2 linked regions of the Diceros bicornis minor genome follow. The protein of the gene in region 1 interacts with the protein of each later gene in a pairwise test. Links are inferred from orthologs where the notes say so. Each region holds a gene or a part of one and is shown on either strand. Other genes may lie near its edges.

Region 1 (7,517 bases):
CCCGGGACAAACCGTAGGACAGGGGCCAGGGCCCAGCCCCCGAAGTCAGGCAGCTTGCAGTCTGAGGGAACAGAATGTCACGGAGGAACCCAGGTATCATCCTTCTCACTCACAAGTCAACCACTGTATCCTCAGCACTGAGCAGAGCTGGGCATGCAGTAGGTGGTGAAAAGTATTTGTTGATTGACTGACTAATGAATGAATGGGCAAGAGAAGCTGGTCCCTGGGTCCCTGGTCCGTCCTTCCAGTTCTCCTGGCACATGCTACCAGATCACTCTGTCTGAACCACAGCTCAGATCATGTCTTTCTCCTGCACAAACCCCTCTGGTGGTCCCCCATCGCCTCTCAAACTGAATATCCACCTAGCTCTTTTGCCACTGTCCCCTGACTCTCTATACTTTCCCCCACCCATCAGCCCTCTCCCAGCCCAACTCCCCCACCAGCCCGGGCTCCACTTCAGCCCCAGACCAACGTTCTGCTGGAGGCAGGCACTGCAGAAGAGCCAGGCACCTTCTGCTGTAAACCTTTGGTTTCAACCTCAGATCATTCTGCTGCCAGCCTTCCCCTCAGTCAGCTTATTCTTATCCCTCCTCCTGGAATATCCTCCTTAAAGCCCAGAATTGCCATCCCTAAATCTCACCCACCTAGCATGGGGTCTGACAGAGTCAGCACCTAACAAATGTTTGATGGATGGATGAGTGAATGAACTAACGAATGAAAGATTCATCTCAGATGACATCTCTTCTGAAAAGCCTTTGCTAGGCTGTAAGATCGGATCCACACACTCCCTCACTAGAGCTCTCCTTCTAGCACATGCCTTACAGGACCATATGGTGCCCACGTTGTGCCTGACTGTCTTCACGTCAGGCGGCACCTTGAGCCCAGGGACTACATAGCTTTGGATTCCATACACTACTGTGCACTAAGGTCCCCAGGAAATGTTGTTGGCATTAAATGGAATCAAGCATCCTTGGGGATGATCTTCAGTTTCTCCACCTGTGAAATGGGCTACTACTTGCTCTACTAGCTTCCGCCTGTACTGGCTGTGAGGCCCACCAGACACACTGCCTGGCTGCAGAACATGGCCACACTGGGGAACCCTCCTACAGCTTGGACAAGGATTAGACTCCTGCGCCTGGGCCTGAGGCTGCCAGGGTCCTGGGTCAGCGTTGAGTCCCTCCTGGCTGTGGTGGGAGCTGAAGGGGCTGGAGGGTGGGCACTTCTATCTCACCATCACTTGGGGCCTCCCTCGAAACCTGGTGAGAACGTGTGAGATTGAGTTTGGGGCTGAAGAGTCTCAGGGGACACTCATCCACTGGGCAAAAGAAACCCTACCCAGTGGCGTCCCTGCTCTGTGTGGTCTCTGCTCCATTTTCTTCTCTCCCTTCAAACCGGGACTCCTTGTCTCCATCCTCAGACTGCACTTTCTCAGGAACTGACTGAGGCAACCTAGGGAAGTTCCGCTGCTCTGCTCAGTGAGGGCCTGGGGACAGCCAGTCTTATCAGAGACGCTGGGTCTTCTACTAGCGGGAGCAGTGATGCCAGAACCTGGGCGGGAACCCAGGTCACCCACCTGCAGCCTGGCCAGCTGGGGCTCTGGGCGTGGTGAAACAGGTTCTGGCTGGCCCGGGCCCGGAGAGCAGTTGGAGGAGGGAGGCTGAGGGGCCCGGTGCACGTGGAAGGCCACGCTGTAGGCCAGGCCCCCGCAGTGGCGGGCCGTGGGGTCCGCGCTGGCCTGGAGCAGAGCCAGCCTGCCGCAGTAGCGGTACAGGTCCTTGTGCTCCCGCGCCGACAGGTTCATGCGGGGCTGGTCTGGGCGAGGATAGATGGGGAAGATGGCCTCGCCCACGCGCTGGGCTGCACTTCCTGAGGCCCCGCACAGCCTCAGTGCCTCCACCCTCAGCTGCGCGTCGTGCTGCTCATCGTTCTTGCAGAACCCTGGTGAGGAAACACGGGGTCAGAGAGTCTATGGGGTCTCCTTGCCTCCCCTGGGGGATAGGGAGGACAGCCAGGGCCCTCGGGAAACCTGGGCTGCCTGGCCTTTGCTTTGAAGTCAGGCTTGGCTAAGATTTCCCCGGTGGGTGACCCCCTCTCAGGCCCCACACACGGCTGGCTCCCTTTACTGAAGGGGGAGAGGGGGGCTCTTAGCCTGTGAGATGGTTCTGGGGAAGAGTTCAACCTGTCCCTGATCTCTGGTCACCGGAAGGCCTGGGACTTGGTTTCCCCATTCCCTCATATCCCTCCTCTTCCAGGAAGCCTGCCTGGATGGCCTCATAGTCTAGGCGTGGATCTTCTGCTCCTTCCAGATCACTTAACTATTCTGTTTGGGATTCCTGCCTCTCCACCTGATCTGGAAACTTCCTGAAGGCAGGGCCCGAGTCTCCACCTCTCTGTCCACCCTCCATACTCACAGTCCAGTGGTTCTCAGGGCTGGGCACTCAGGGTGCTGGCTCTAATGTTACTCAGTGTGACGTCCAGTGGGACTGGCCCCACCTGCTGTGTGCTTAGCTTTTGTAAATTCACAAAGCCATTCGTCATCTGTCCTTTCACTTCCTCCTCACCCAACCCTGTGACCAGCATCAGCGTCCCCATGTCACACTGACGGAGGAAGGGGCTCACAGAAGGCCAGCGTTTTCCCAAGATCACACAGGCAGAGCTTTGGGATTCAGTCTAGAGCTCTGATGCTGCCCCTCCCGGTGTCCCTGAGGCTCCCTGGGGTCCCTGACAGGGCTGGGGCAGGAGTTGGAGGGTCCTTCTCTCCCCTCAAACCCTACCCTTGCTTCATACCTTTGGGCAAAGTAAAGATAAACTTGTTCCTGGTGAGGGTGAGGCTCTGGCCAGGGTCCTGCTGCTCAATGACATCGGTGACAGCAGAGCAGGTGGGGAGGGGGTCCCCATCATTTACCTGCAGCTGCACACCAGCCCCAGAGCTGGCCTGCAGGGGGTTCTCAGCTGACAGCCGCAGGGCGTATCTGCCCTCCTCATTAAACCCCACACTCAAGACCTCGAACTCCAGGTCCAGTGTCTTCTCCTCGGTCTTCAGCCTCTGGCTCAGCAGGGATGCAGGGACCCAGGGTTCAGGCCCCCTGAAGGCCATGGCCATATCGGGGACTGACCCCCCCTGGGCTGAGCACTGCCCCTTCCTGCCCACAGTCTCAGCCTGGGCCCAGTCTGAAAGCCCACACGCTGGGTGCTCAGGGCCACACCCCACCCTTCTCTGTTTGTTTGGGGAGAAACCAGGTAACAAGCCAGGAAGCTGATTCTGTCCTGGGTAACAAAGGCAGCCATTGATCTGTCCCTTTTAGCATTTGTTCATTCAACAAATATTTATTGAGCATCTACTATGTGCCAGGCACTATTTTAGGCATTTGGAATGCAGCAGTGAATCAAAGATTTCCTGCACTTCTGAAGCTTATCTTCTAGTGGGGGAGGTAGGTGGGAACAGATGAAAATAAGCACTAAATATAGAAAATAAGTAAATTGTAATATATGCTAGAAGATGATAAGTTCTATGGAAAAAATTAGAGCAGGGTCAGGGATGAGGAGAACTGGTGTGAGGAGCACATGGGTATGGGGTAATCAGGACGTCCAATTTTCGGGAGAGCCTGTCTCCACATGCCTGTTCATTCCCAAGAGTTCTTGAGTTGGATGGGGATGGGATCTCAAGGGGAGAGGGACAGTGTATGTTCCTTGGGAGCATGCCCTTAGCACCTGCTTCTGGAACCAGTGTACCTTCTTATTTAAAACTCACAATATGGGGCACAGCTTCACTTTACAGAGAGCCCAGAGCTTCTCATACCAAAGAGTTGTCAAGCTGGAACCCATCCTTCCTGATCCTGGGTCTTGCTGATACCCAGTTGGGGAGGGGAGATTCTAGACACTCCTTAGTAAGAACCATCTCTACCATCATCACTATTACCACCACTATTACCATCTCTACTATCACCATCATCACCACTACCACCACTATCACCACGATCACCATCACTACCATGAGCACCACCTTCACTATCACCAACACCATTACTACCACCACCACCACCACCACCACCATCACCACCACCATCACCATCACCACCACCACCATCACCATCACCATTACTACCACCATCACCATCAGTCACCACCACCACCACCACCACCACCATCACCATCACCATTACTACCACCACCACTACCACTACCACCATCACCATCACTACCGCTATCACCACCATCACCATCATCACCACCATCACCTCCATCATCATCACCTCTATCATCATTCTCATCATTATCCAGTATCATCATCAGCATCATTTATGATACTCATCACTGAGCAGCTATTGAGTGCCAGGCACTCTGCATGGCTCTGTGAGGTAAACATAATTATCCCCATTATACAGGTGAAGAATCTCAGGCTGAGAGAATCTCAGATCACGTGGCTAGCAAGAAGCAGAGCTGAGATTTGAACCTAGATATTCTAAGTCCATCTATACTTTCCCCTACTAAACATGTCCTGGGACTGGCTCAGAGATTGAAATTCATACTATTAGGGGCTTCTGTACCCTAAGACTGTAGAAGTACAGTTCTGAGTCTGAAGAGTACATTTATGGACAGCATAGATTTCATTCAAAAGAGTTCACTTGAAGTCACCTTGAGTAGAATGCGTCATTTTCATAAAGTAAGAAATAACCAGTCTAAAGATGGTATTGGCCAGCCCAGCTAAGCGCCCCAATGTATATGGGAGTCTTCCTCTGCAATGATGGCGATTCAGTGTCTTCAGGTCCCCCAAGGAGAAAATGAGGCAAACAGGCTTTAAAAGACCAGAGTTCTAGTCACCTGACTTGCAGATCCCTTTCCCTCTCTGGGTGTCAGTGGCCCCATCTGCACGATGGGTGGAAGTCGAGTGGCTAAGTCTTCCCACAGCACCGGCAGTCTGAAATTCTCTAAGTCATATCGGGAAAGGCCACAGTCTGGCCATTTGGGGAAGAGGTTCCAGAGGCTCCCTGGAAACCTTTGTCTCAACAGCTAGGCCTGGCCCACCAGCCTAGGTCCTGAGGCCATGGTTTGCCTCTGCTAGGTCTAAGGTCTTGGAGATTCAGTGATTCAGTAAAAGTGGCCCTCTCCCCTTGCATGTGTGAAATCACCCCCAGAGATGTTACAAGATGGAAGGCAGTCTCTCTGTCCTAGGGCCAACCTCTGTGCACTGCACCCAGCCCCCACCCCTGCAAGCCGGTCCCATGTACACAACCCTTCTTCCCAGTCTGTTTATCTGAGCTTGGAAGATAACACCTCCCTCTTCCCCCCTTGCTCCCTTCTTTCCCTCCCTCCACATTTCTACAGAGGATCTGAGGTGATTGTGTTGGTCTTAGCATGTTTTGAGGGCCCTCCACAGCTGATGCCCCCACGCTTCCCATTGCTAGCCTCCCCTCCCCCACTCAGTCTCTGGGAAAGGCTCATTTTTTTGGTGGGTGTGTATGGTTACTTTCTTAAAAATTGTGGTAAAATATACATAACATAAAATTTACCAGCTTAGCCATTTTTAGGTGTGCAGTTCAATAGTGATAAGTATATTTACATTGCTGTGCAACCAGGCTCCAGAACTCTTTTCATCTTGTAAAACTGAAACTCTACGCCCATTGAACAACTCCCCATTTCCCCTCCCCCAGCCCTGGCAACCACCCTTCTATTTTCTGCCTCTATGAACCTGACTACTCTAGGCACCTCATATGGGTGGAATCACAAAGCATTTGTCCTTTTGTGACTGGCTTATTTCACTCAGCATAATGTCCTAGGGAAGGCTCACTTTTGCCCCAGGCCAGGCCTGCCCTGTCTCCCCTCCCTGCCTTTGCTGGTGCTGCTTCCTCTGCCCAAACTGCCCAGCCCCACCTGATGTCCTCCAGACGGGCTAAAAGGCTCCTCCTCTGGCGCCAGAGTAGTATCTCCCTCCTCTGCCACACTCTGTACCTCCCTCTCCAGTCTCAAATGATGACTTGCCCACACTCGACTGAACATCCCTTCAGGGATCATGTCTGTGTGCCCAGGACAGAGCTGGGCAAGGGGTTGGTGCCTGGAGGACTGTTAAAGCATTATAGAATGAATGAATGAATGAATGAATGGAAGGATAAATGAATTGATGGACAAACCAAACCCAGCTTCTGCTTGTGCAGAAAAGAATAAGAACTGGTTCTTTTGGCTATTTTATCTGGATTCCATCTGTGAGAAGTGATGACCATACCTGGACTCAGATGCATCTTGGTGCCTAGGTGGGCAGGCAGGTCCCCAGGAGGGAGGGCAGCAGCATGGGGGTAAGTGGCAGGGCAGGAGGCAGTAGTTCCTAATGCTCAGGCTTCTCCAGGTCTAATCTCAGTTCCACGGAGAAAGTCTGAAAACCTCAGTGAATTTTAGCAGGTCAGGGCTGGATAGCACTCCCATTTTATAGGTGGAGAAACTGAGCCCAGGATAGCAGAGCAGGACCAGATCCTTACTGCCTTCCCAGGATTCCCTCCACTCCCAGCTGCCTCCCTGATTCAGCCTCCTGCAGTTTTCAGAAGGTTTAAACTCCAGGCAGAGGCCTGGCTCCCACAGAAGGAGTCAAGAAGGGGCAGGGTGTGGGGTGAGGAGAGGAGACGACAGTGCTGACTGTAAGTGGACTTCTGCAGTCCCAGCATGAAAGGCCTTAATGGGGCCCTCAGTCTTCTTTCTTCCCCAGAAGAATGGCCACTCAGAGTCCGCTGGCTTTGTCTGGAAGAGCCTGGGGTTTTAATTAGCCCACCCCAGAGGGCCCCCTTCCTGTTTCCCACAGTGGCTCCTTTCAGCCTCCCCTGCTGACACTCCCCAGGGCTCCTGTGGGCCCTCAGACCCCCAACCTCAAGGACTCACCTCCAACTTGCCCCACCCCACCCCACTCCTGGCCTCTGCTCAGAGCTGAATCCTCCTACAGGGACATCTGTGAGTTCACTGGATGCTCCCAAGGGCCTGGGAGCTGGGACTATTATCCCCTCCTGCAGATGGGGAAACAGAGGGGCAGAGAGATCTGGTGGGTGAGTGAAGGGGTGGACCTGGACCTCAGGTCTCCTGATTCCCAGGCCAGTGTGATCATGTGATCATCACCGCTCCGCACCGGGACTTCCACGTCCAGGCCCCCTCCAGCAACCTCCTCCCCACAGTGGAACCATCCCAGGCGCACCCCCTCTCCCTTCAAGCCCACAGCGCCAGAAGCTTACGGGGTGATAGAATCACAGACTCAGACTGGCGAAGTGCAGCCCAGCGGCCAGCGTCTCTCCATTGCACAGACGGGAAAACTGAGGCCCAGAGCAGGAAAGGGCCTCATTTTTGGTCACTCAGCTGGTAAGTGGTAAAGGCAAAATGAGAAGCCTGGTCTGCTCCCTCCACTGATTGTGGTGGTTAGGGCCGGGGTCTGGCTACCTTGAAGCTCTCCCCTCTGAGTGGTAACTCTGATCGAGTCCCCCTGCCTCTGGCCCCATCAGGTTGCATACTCTTCCCCTCCTGGCCTCAGAGTCTTCCGTCATCCC
Region 2 (6,926 bases), on another chromosome or scaffold:
TGATAACTTTTATTGTTCTATCTTCAAATTCACATCTTTCTTCTGCCATCTCAGATCTGCTATTGAACCTATCTAGTGAATTTTCAATCTTACTTCTTGTAGTTTTCAGCTCTAGAAATGCCATTTGATTCTTTTTTATAATTTCCATTTCTCTGTTGAGATTCTCTTTTTGTTGACTTGTTGTTAACATAAATTCCTTTAATTCTTTGAGCATATTTTCCTTTAATTCCTTGAACATAACTATAACAGCTGCTTTGAAGTCTTCGCTAAATGCAACATCTGGGCCCATTTGCAGTCAGAGTCTATTAACTTGTTTTGTGTGGTTAGTTTCCTTTTCTTTGCATATCCAGTAATTTCTAGTTGAAAATTGGACATTGAATCACAAAGCTGGTCACCTCCATGGTGTGCAGCCATTGATATCACTGTGCAATTTGTATTTTTAGTATTTCACTTTGTTTTTTAGTCTGATTCTCTAAGGGTATCCCGTTTCTGCATTGTTTAATGGTCAGGCAATTATTTGGACAGAGGTTATGCTGAGACATTTTGAACCTGTAAACTTTCCACCTTCTGCTGCCCAAGCTGCGTGGTTGGAGGAACAAATTCAAATCTACAGCCAGTCGTCAGGTCTACCCTGGCTTTCACTTTTTGCTATACTCTCTCAGGTCTCCCTGACGCATGCGTATTTTAGCACTCAGTCAGGGATGTATGGGAAGTTTACTGTCTCAGGCCTTTCTTGGCTCTCTTACTTCCAGGATTTCTCCCATTACATTTCTGGGTAATCTTCTGCCCACTCTGAACAGAGGTTATAACCTCAAGCCGGTAAAGCTGTAGTTTTTCACTTTCTGTCTAGAACTGATTCCATGACCTTTAACCCATAAAACTGCAGATTTTCATTTCCCCATCCCAGACCAAGTCTGTCACCCCAGCTGATAAAGCTGCTGGTTTTCACTAACAGCTCTCAAACCAAGCTCCACATTCCCACTGGTAAAGCTGTGATTCTTATCACCCAAGCTACAGGATAGGGGAGGAGAGGACGTAGCACCTCCAAGTAAGAAGACCAGAATGGCCATTCTGATGCAGCAGCAGTTTTTCAAGATTAAACATTTAGTTTATTGTCTGCCTTTGGTCATTTTTCGAGTCCCCTGAAACGGTTGGTTTTGACAACTTTGTCTAATTTTATACTTTTCTTCAGAGGGAAATTTCCCATTTTCTCATACCACCATTCCTGAAGTGAATTTTGGACTGGATTATTTTAATGTTTCTTCCACTTAAACATTCTTTTGCCCACAGTTTTTGATTTTGATCAGAAAGTTACTGATGTCAGGAGGCTGATGTAGACACAATGAAAGAGAGCTCCAAATTTTGCATAAGTCACCTCAAATTGTGCAAAAATAAATAGGGGAGCCAGTGAGGCTGAACATTGAACTGGGTGTTTCAAAGCTGGGGTCTGGTCTCAGTGCAGCCCTGAGAGCGCTCTCTGAGGTTCTCTAACAAAAATGTTTAAAAAGGATACCCCTAGCCTCACCTAACACATCTCACTGCTTCTGATCTTCTCCCCTGGGTCCTGCCCCCACCTCCCGTCTGCCTTTCTCATGGATTCTATGACTCTCTGAAGGTGAAAATGGCTGAAATTAACTTTCACTTCTGCTCAGACATCTGAAACCCAAGAGCAAGGTCATTTCCTTGTTCTTTTCTGAGTGACTGCTGGAGTCCATTTTTGTTGTTTTTCTTTTTCAATGCCTGTCTTTTGGAGGTGGACAGAAAGGTGAAGATGTTTTTCCAGACCACAAAAAGGCCAGCTTACCTTGAACCTCCCCTCCCTGCAAACTCTCACATCCCCTCTCACTCCAACCTTGAATAAATGAGCCAGAGTCAGAGGAAAATGGATTTTCTCCTTAGCAAAGTGGATTTCCTGCTCCCCACTATATTCTCTATATCCTTAGGTCCAAGTATATAAAAGTTGTCCAAAGGTCACTTATTTAGGCCCCACTGATAAAAATATTAGACATAAGTCAAACAGCATCATTGGATCCTTGTTCAGTAAAAGCCTCCATCTAGATACCTGCCTCCAAGAGTCTGTAGGATTCTTAGTCACAAATCACATTCGAGGCCTTCTCCCTGGTAACTCCCCCCAATAATCCCTGATGGAATTATTCCTCCTGCCTCTGATCTAATATTGTGCCTTGTTGAGGCTTCTGTGGCTGCACTTACCATATCCCATACCCCATTATAATTGTCAGTCTAGCAGACCCCCTTCCCATGACCATCAGAGGAGGGTCATGTCTATTTCTGTCTTTACCCTCAGCCTCTAGTGCGTGCTTACCACAGAGCAAACACTCACAAAATTTGTTGTGTTAGTTGAATTGAAATAACAAGACAATAATCTTATCTCAAATCAGTAACTTTTGAAATCATAAGTTTAAGGAGTTTGGGATTTTTTCAACTTGTGTTTAATGCTTAGGTTTAACTCTCAGGTGCCAGGAGGTGAATATAATAATCAATTCATAATAGGTATGATTCACTGAGCATGGCTGGTTCTGAACACTCTTCTGGGCCCTTTGCTACCCAGGATAGAAGAAGACAAAGCAGTTTTAAAGATAAGATTTGAGACTTAGTTTAGACATATTCACATCAGCTACCAGTTATTTGAAGTTTACTATGTGCTAAATACTGTAATAGATATTTTTATACATTAATCCACTTATTCTCATAAAAACCTTTTGGGGAAATGAAGCAGATAGTTTCCAAGGACACTTAGATCCTAAGAACTCTATGTTGCTGCTGCTGTTGCTGTGAACATCTGTCAGAAAGCTCTTTCCTACCAGGAACTAACAGCGAGGTATTGTCTTAGTCCTAAAATCCAAGGACAGAAACTCCATGAGGATACTGAGATTCTGGATTGTGATGCCAGGCCAGGAGTAGAAGCAGGCCTATCTGAATTCTATCCGCCTCAAGGTTTCCAGACATAGAGGCAGGAGAAGAGCCCCCCCATTGGCTCCCTTTGTTCCATGTGTCAGAAAGCAGGCGACCAATGGCTCACCATGTCTGGATGGACAAACAAGTCTCCCGAGGTCATCTCAGCAACCTTCTTGGTCCTGTTGGTCCCTCAGCTGGTGTAGTACAGGACAACATCTCACCACTCTAGATGTTAGGGTCCCTTCCCCACCTCCTCCATCATTCTCTGCTCCTCTGAGTTTTCATAGCCAAGTGAAGCAGCACGATTGAAGAGGCCCTGAGATCAGAATCAACAACTGGCTAGAGTGCTATAAAAAAGAAACAGGGAATTAGCATTTACTTATTGAGAGCCAATTCTGTGCCTGTCACTCACACCCATTCTATCATTTGTGCTCATAGGATCTTATGGGCTAGGTGTTATCAGCACTTTTTGGAAGATGAAGCAAAACCAATACGGCTGAGAGAATGGCTGCCCTGGCTCCCACGAATGGCACAGGCAGCAGAGCCCAAGCTCTTTCTTGTCTTGCAGACAAATGTGGCCAGCCAGAGCGAAATACCCTGTAGAGTTAGCTTGACTCTGCGAGGCTCGGTACAGGAAAAACACCACCTGTGTTGTCAAACCAAAAGCCCACGAGAAAACTTTCTGGGGGCGGAGGGGCATTATGACCGATGTGGCCTGGGGCAGGAGAAAGACCAGCTGCCTGTGGCCCTTTTTCATGGGCTTTTCTGGGACAGTGGTGCCCACTGGGCCCAGTGAGCCCTTGGAAGCTTTTTGAAGCACTGGGGTGGAGGGGCGGGGCTCTTTGGGGGCGGCTGGTGAGGCTCTGACCACAGACCGAGGAACCTGCCATCTCCGCCTGGTGCTTGCTGCCTGCAGGAAGCCACGAGCTCCGTGAACTGATTGAGACGACTGGGATGGGCTTTTTCTTTGGGATTACATCAGAAGTTGCTGGTTATAGCTAGAAGGCTGCGTCACCACAAGGGCGCTGGGATTTGAAGAACTATGGTGAAAAGCCACTGAGCATCGCCAAGGTAAGACGCTACATCTTCTGCCTTCCTGATCGTCTCATTTCCTTCAACTGTGCAAACAGTGCTCTGAGGCCTGTAGCTGGGAGAGCGGGCAGGAACATCACTGTGGAGGCTATAGACAGAGAGAGAAGACATTAATGTGATCTGAGCCACAGCTATGAATAGACTGCCCCATTGTTTGTTTGTTTCTATTTTAGAGAGACTTTTCATTTATAAAAATTCATCTGGGTAGACTCTGCTTCTTGGGCTTTCTAAGCTGGAAAAGGCAGTGGATGTGCCACAGAGAAAAGACAGGAGAAGGCTGTGGGGTGGGGAGATGGGTGGGCACACACGTGGCAGCTGTGGGCATCAATCATGTTACTCAGCCTCCCTAAAAGTGACAGTATTGACATTTACGATGCAGAGCTAACAGGAGCTGGCAGTGATGTATGCAGAGTGTCTGACTCAAGGTCAATGATTGGGTGTTGCTTTTGTTTTATTTTGTTGGTTTTTGAATCAAGTTTTCCATTTTTCAGATACCATGGGTAGGGTGACGGAATAGATTTAATGATGATCTTTTGCCTAAGAGCTCTATTTTGGCCAACTTCGAAAAGGAAAGAATAACTGATAATATATGTTGAGAAAATTTTTTAAATTCTAGGGTTTTGACAACTTTTCTAGTCATTTTCTAATTGTCCATTGCTTCCACCCTCAACTATCCACATTACCAAGGAACCAAAGAATTGTTATTGTCGTGCTCCATAGTTATAGAGAAGAATTCTGCATGATACATGTAGATACTCCCCCCTTCAGGATGGGAGCTTGATTCCCCTCACTTTGAGTGAGGACTGGATGTAGACCAGAGTATGGGAAGGGAGAAACGGTAACTCCATAGTGGAGAATCCTGACAGACTCCACCGGCAGCAGGTGATCAGGTTAACAGAGTAACCCGCAATGCCAGTAGAGTCATGAGAAAACATCAGACAAACCCAAATTCAGGGACAGTCTACTGAATATTAGATCTTAAAAATTGTCAGGGTCATGAAAAGCGAGGAAAGATGGGGAAACGATGACACATCAGAGGAGAGTAAGGAGACACGACAACTAAGTCCAGAATTCACATCCTGGATTGGACTGGATCCTGGAAAAAAAAGTCATTGGTAAAAGTAGACGAAATCTAAATAAAGTCTGGAGTTTAATTAATATCATTGTACCAATGTGATTTCTTAGTTCTGGCAAATGTAGCATGTTAGGTAAGATGTTAATATTAGGAGAAAGTGAGGGAAGGGCATATGGAAAGTTTCCATAGTGTCTTTGTAATTTTACTGTAAACCTAAAATTAGCCCAGAATAAAATGATAAAAACAATTTATCTTCATCCTGCCTGAAGGCAGAAATGGTCAAAATCTGAACATGCTTGGGAAAGCTGGCATCCATGGCCCAGTGGTCCCCACTGTCTCTCGAACATTCTGGAACATAGCAGGCCTTTTGCATTTTTTACCATTCTCTTTCCCAACCCCCACCTTATTCCTGGAAAGCTCTATATTTCCCTCTCCTCATGGTATTTCTCATCATTCATCTAATTTTTCATTCAGCACATGCTTTCTGAGCCCTCACTCTGTGTCAGAGGGTTTAGGACTAAGTCCCCCACCCTCTGTCTGCCCGGCAGAGCTCACTGTGCTGATTCAGGCTCTCGGGGCTCCAAGCACATGCCCAGCTACCCAAACATGACCCCTCCCTGGTAAGGAAGCAGGAGGCCGAGAATGGAGGCAAGCGAAGGCCAGACACTGCGTGGAATACTGGATGGATTCTGCCATCCTCTGGGCTCAACCATCCCCACAGAGTCTGTGGCCAGTCAAGCAGCTGTGAGGTGTGCTGGAAAACAGTTTCCTGCGAGCAAAGCTGTGTCCTGAGGGATGCAGAGTGGGACTCGAAGAGCCAACTCCTGCTTGAGTGACAACCTGGCCTGGGAGCCCACTCTGCAGCCCTAGAATCTGCAGCAGCCAGAGGAGGCCACCAGGGGCCAGCATCCTTGCTTGTAAGGTCCAGGTGTGTGGAGAAGCTTGATATGCCCCCACCACCACCCCCACACCCCCCACAGGCCCCGCAGAGCAGGTGTGCCCTTGTTCAAAGATGATGTCTCAGCTAGATTAGAGAAACGCTTCAGAAGCAGGTGAGAAAGAAGAAAGAATTATGAAGCCATAGGAAGACAGCATTTAGATGAAAATCACACCACTTAGATGAAGATCAAAACTAAAGAGCTGCGATTACCACTGGGCCTAAAGTACCTTCCTGTCACATCTCCTGCTTCCCCCACTGCCAACCTGAATGCTTTGACTACACCAGCCACGCACTGCTTCTGGAAAGCACCAGGCCAGGCTCCTGCTAGTCCCTCTGCCCAGGATCCCCTCCCCGCTGTCTCATCTAGGTAAGTCCCACTTGTTCTAATTCTCAGGACCCGTGCCAATGTCTTCTCTTCAGTCACCAGTGCCCAAATCACCCCCTGTGTCCCCGTGAACCTCCAGCACGTGCTTAAAGCTATTTGTTTGCAGGTCTGCTGCCCTTCTGGGCCTGAGCTCCTCCAGGACAGGGACCAGGCCCTCCATCCCTTCCCCTCTGGGTCCCAGCACCCAGAACAGTGCCTGGCACAGGATGGGTACCCTGTGAAATGGCTCTTGAGTGAAAGAAACGAGGACAAATTCTTGAATGCAAGTGAAGATTAAGACATGAGGAAGAAAGTTTGAGGGAGGAAAAACGTGTAAGATTTAGAGATCACCCTTAGCCACAATGAGCTCTGATGCCATCGCCACATGAGGGTTTTAACGAGGGTCCTTGCAGAAGGAGACCGGTGTCACTAGGTCTCTGGCATGTTTTGCTCCCTGCAAGGCAGTGTGGGCCAGAGGACAGTGGGCCTTGGGGCCAGCCAGTTCTGTGCTAGACCTGGCTCTGCCACTTGCCAGCTGG

Evidence for each region. The genes of interacting proteins can lie anywhere in the genome.
Region 2: the proteins of CCDC33 (region 1) and BLK interact in a two-hybrid assay, tested with the Homo sapiens proteins (3 studies listed by BioGRID and IntAct). The two-hybrid records come from large-scale screens. The link is inferred for Diceros bicornis minor from reciprocal best matches to the Homo sapiens genes CCDC33 and BLK.

Annotation. Positions count from the first base shown.
Region 1 is NC_080744.1:67,225,354-67,232,870, reverse strand, and holds the start of CCDC33 (coiled-coil domain-containing protein 33), read right to left. Parts: upstream 3,104-7,517; coding exon 2,788-3,103; intron 1,939-2,787; coding exon 1,574-1,938; intron 1-1,573.
Region 2 is NC_080750.1:62,725,772-62,732,697, reverse strand, and holds the start of BLK (tyrosine-protein kinase Blk), read left to right. Parts: upstream 1-3,821; 5' UTR 3,822-3,987; intron 3,988-6,926. UniProt on the Homo sapiens protein: Non-receptor tyrosine kinase involved in B-lymphocyte development, differentiation and signaling. B-cell receptor (BCR) signaling requires a tight regulation of several protein tyrosine kinases and phosphatases, and associated coreceptors.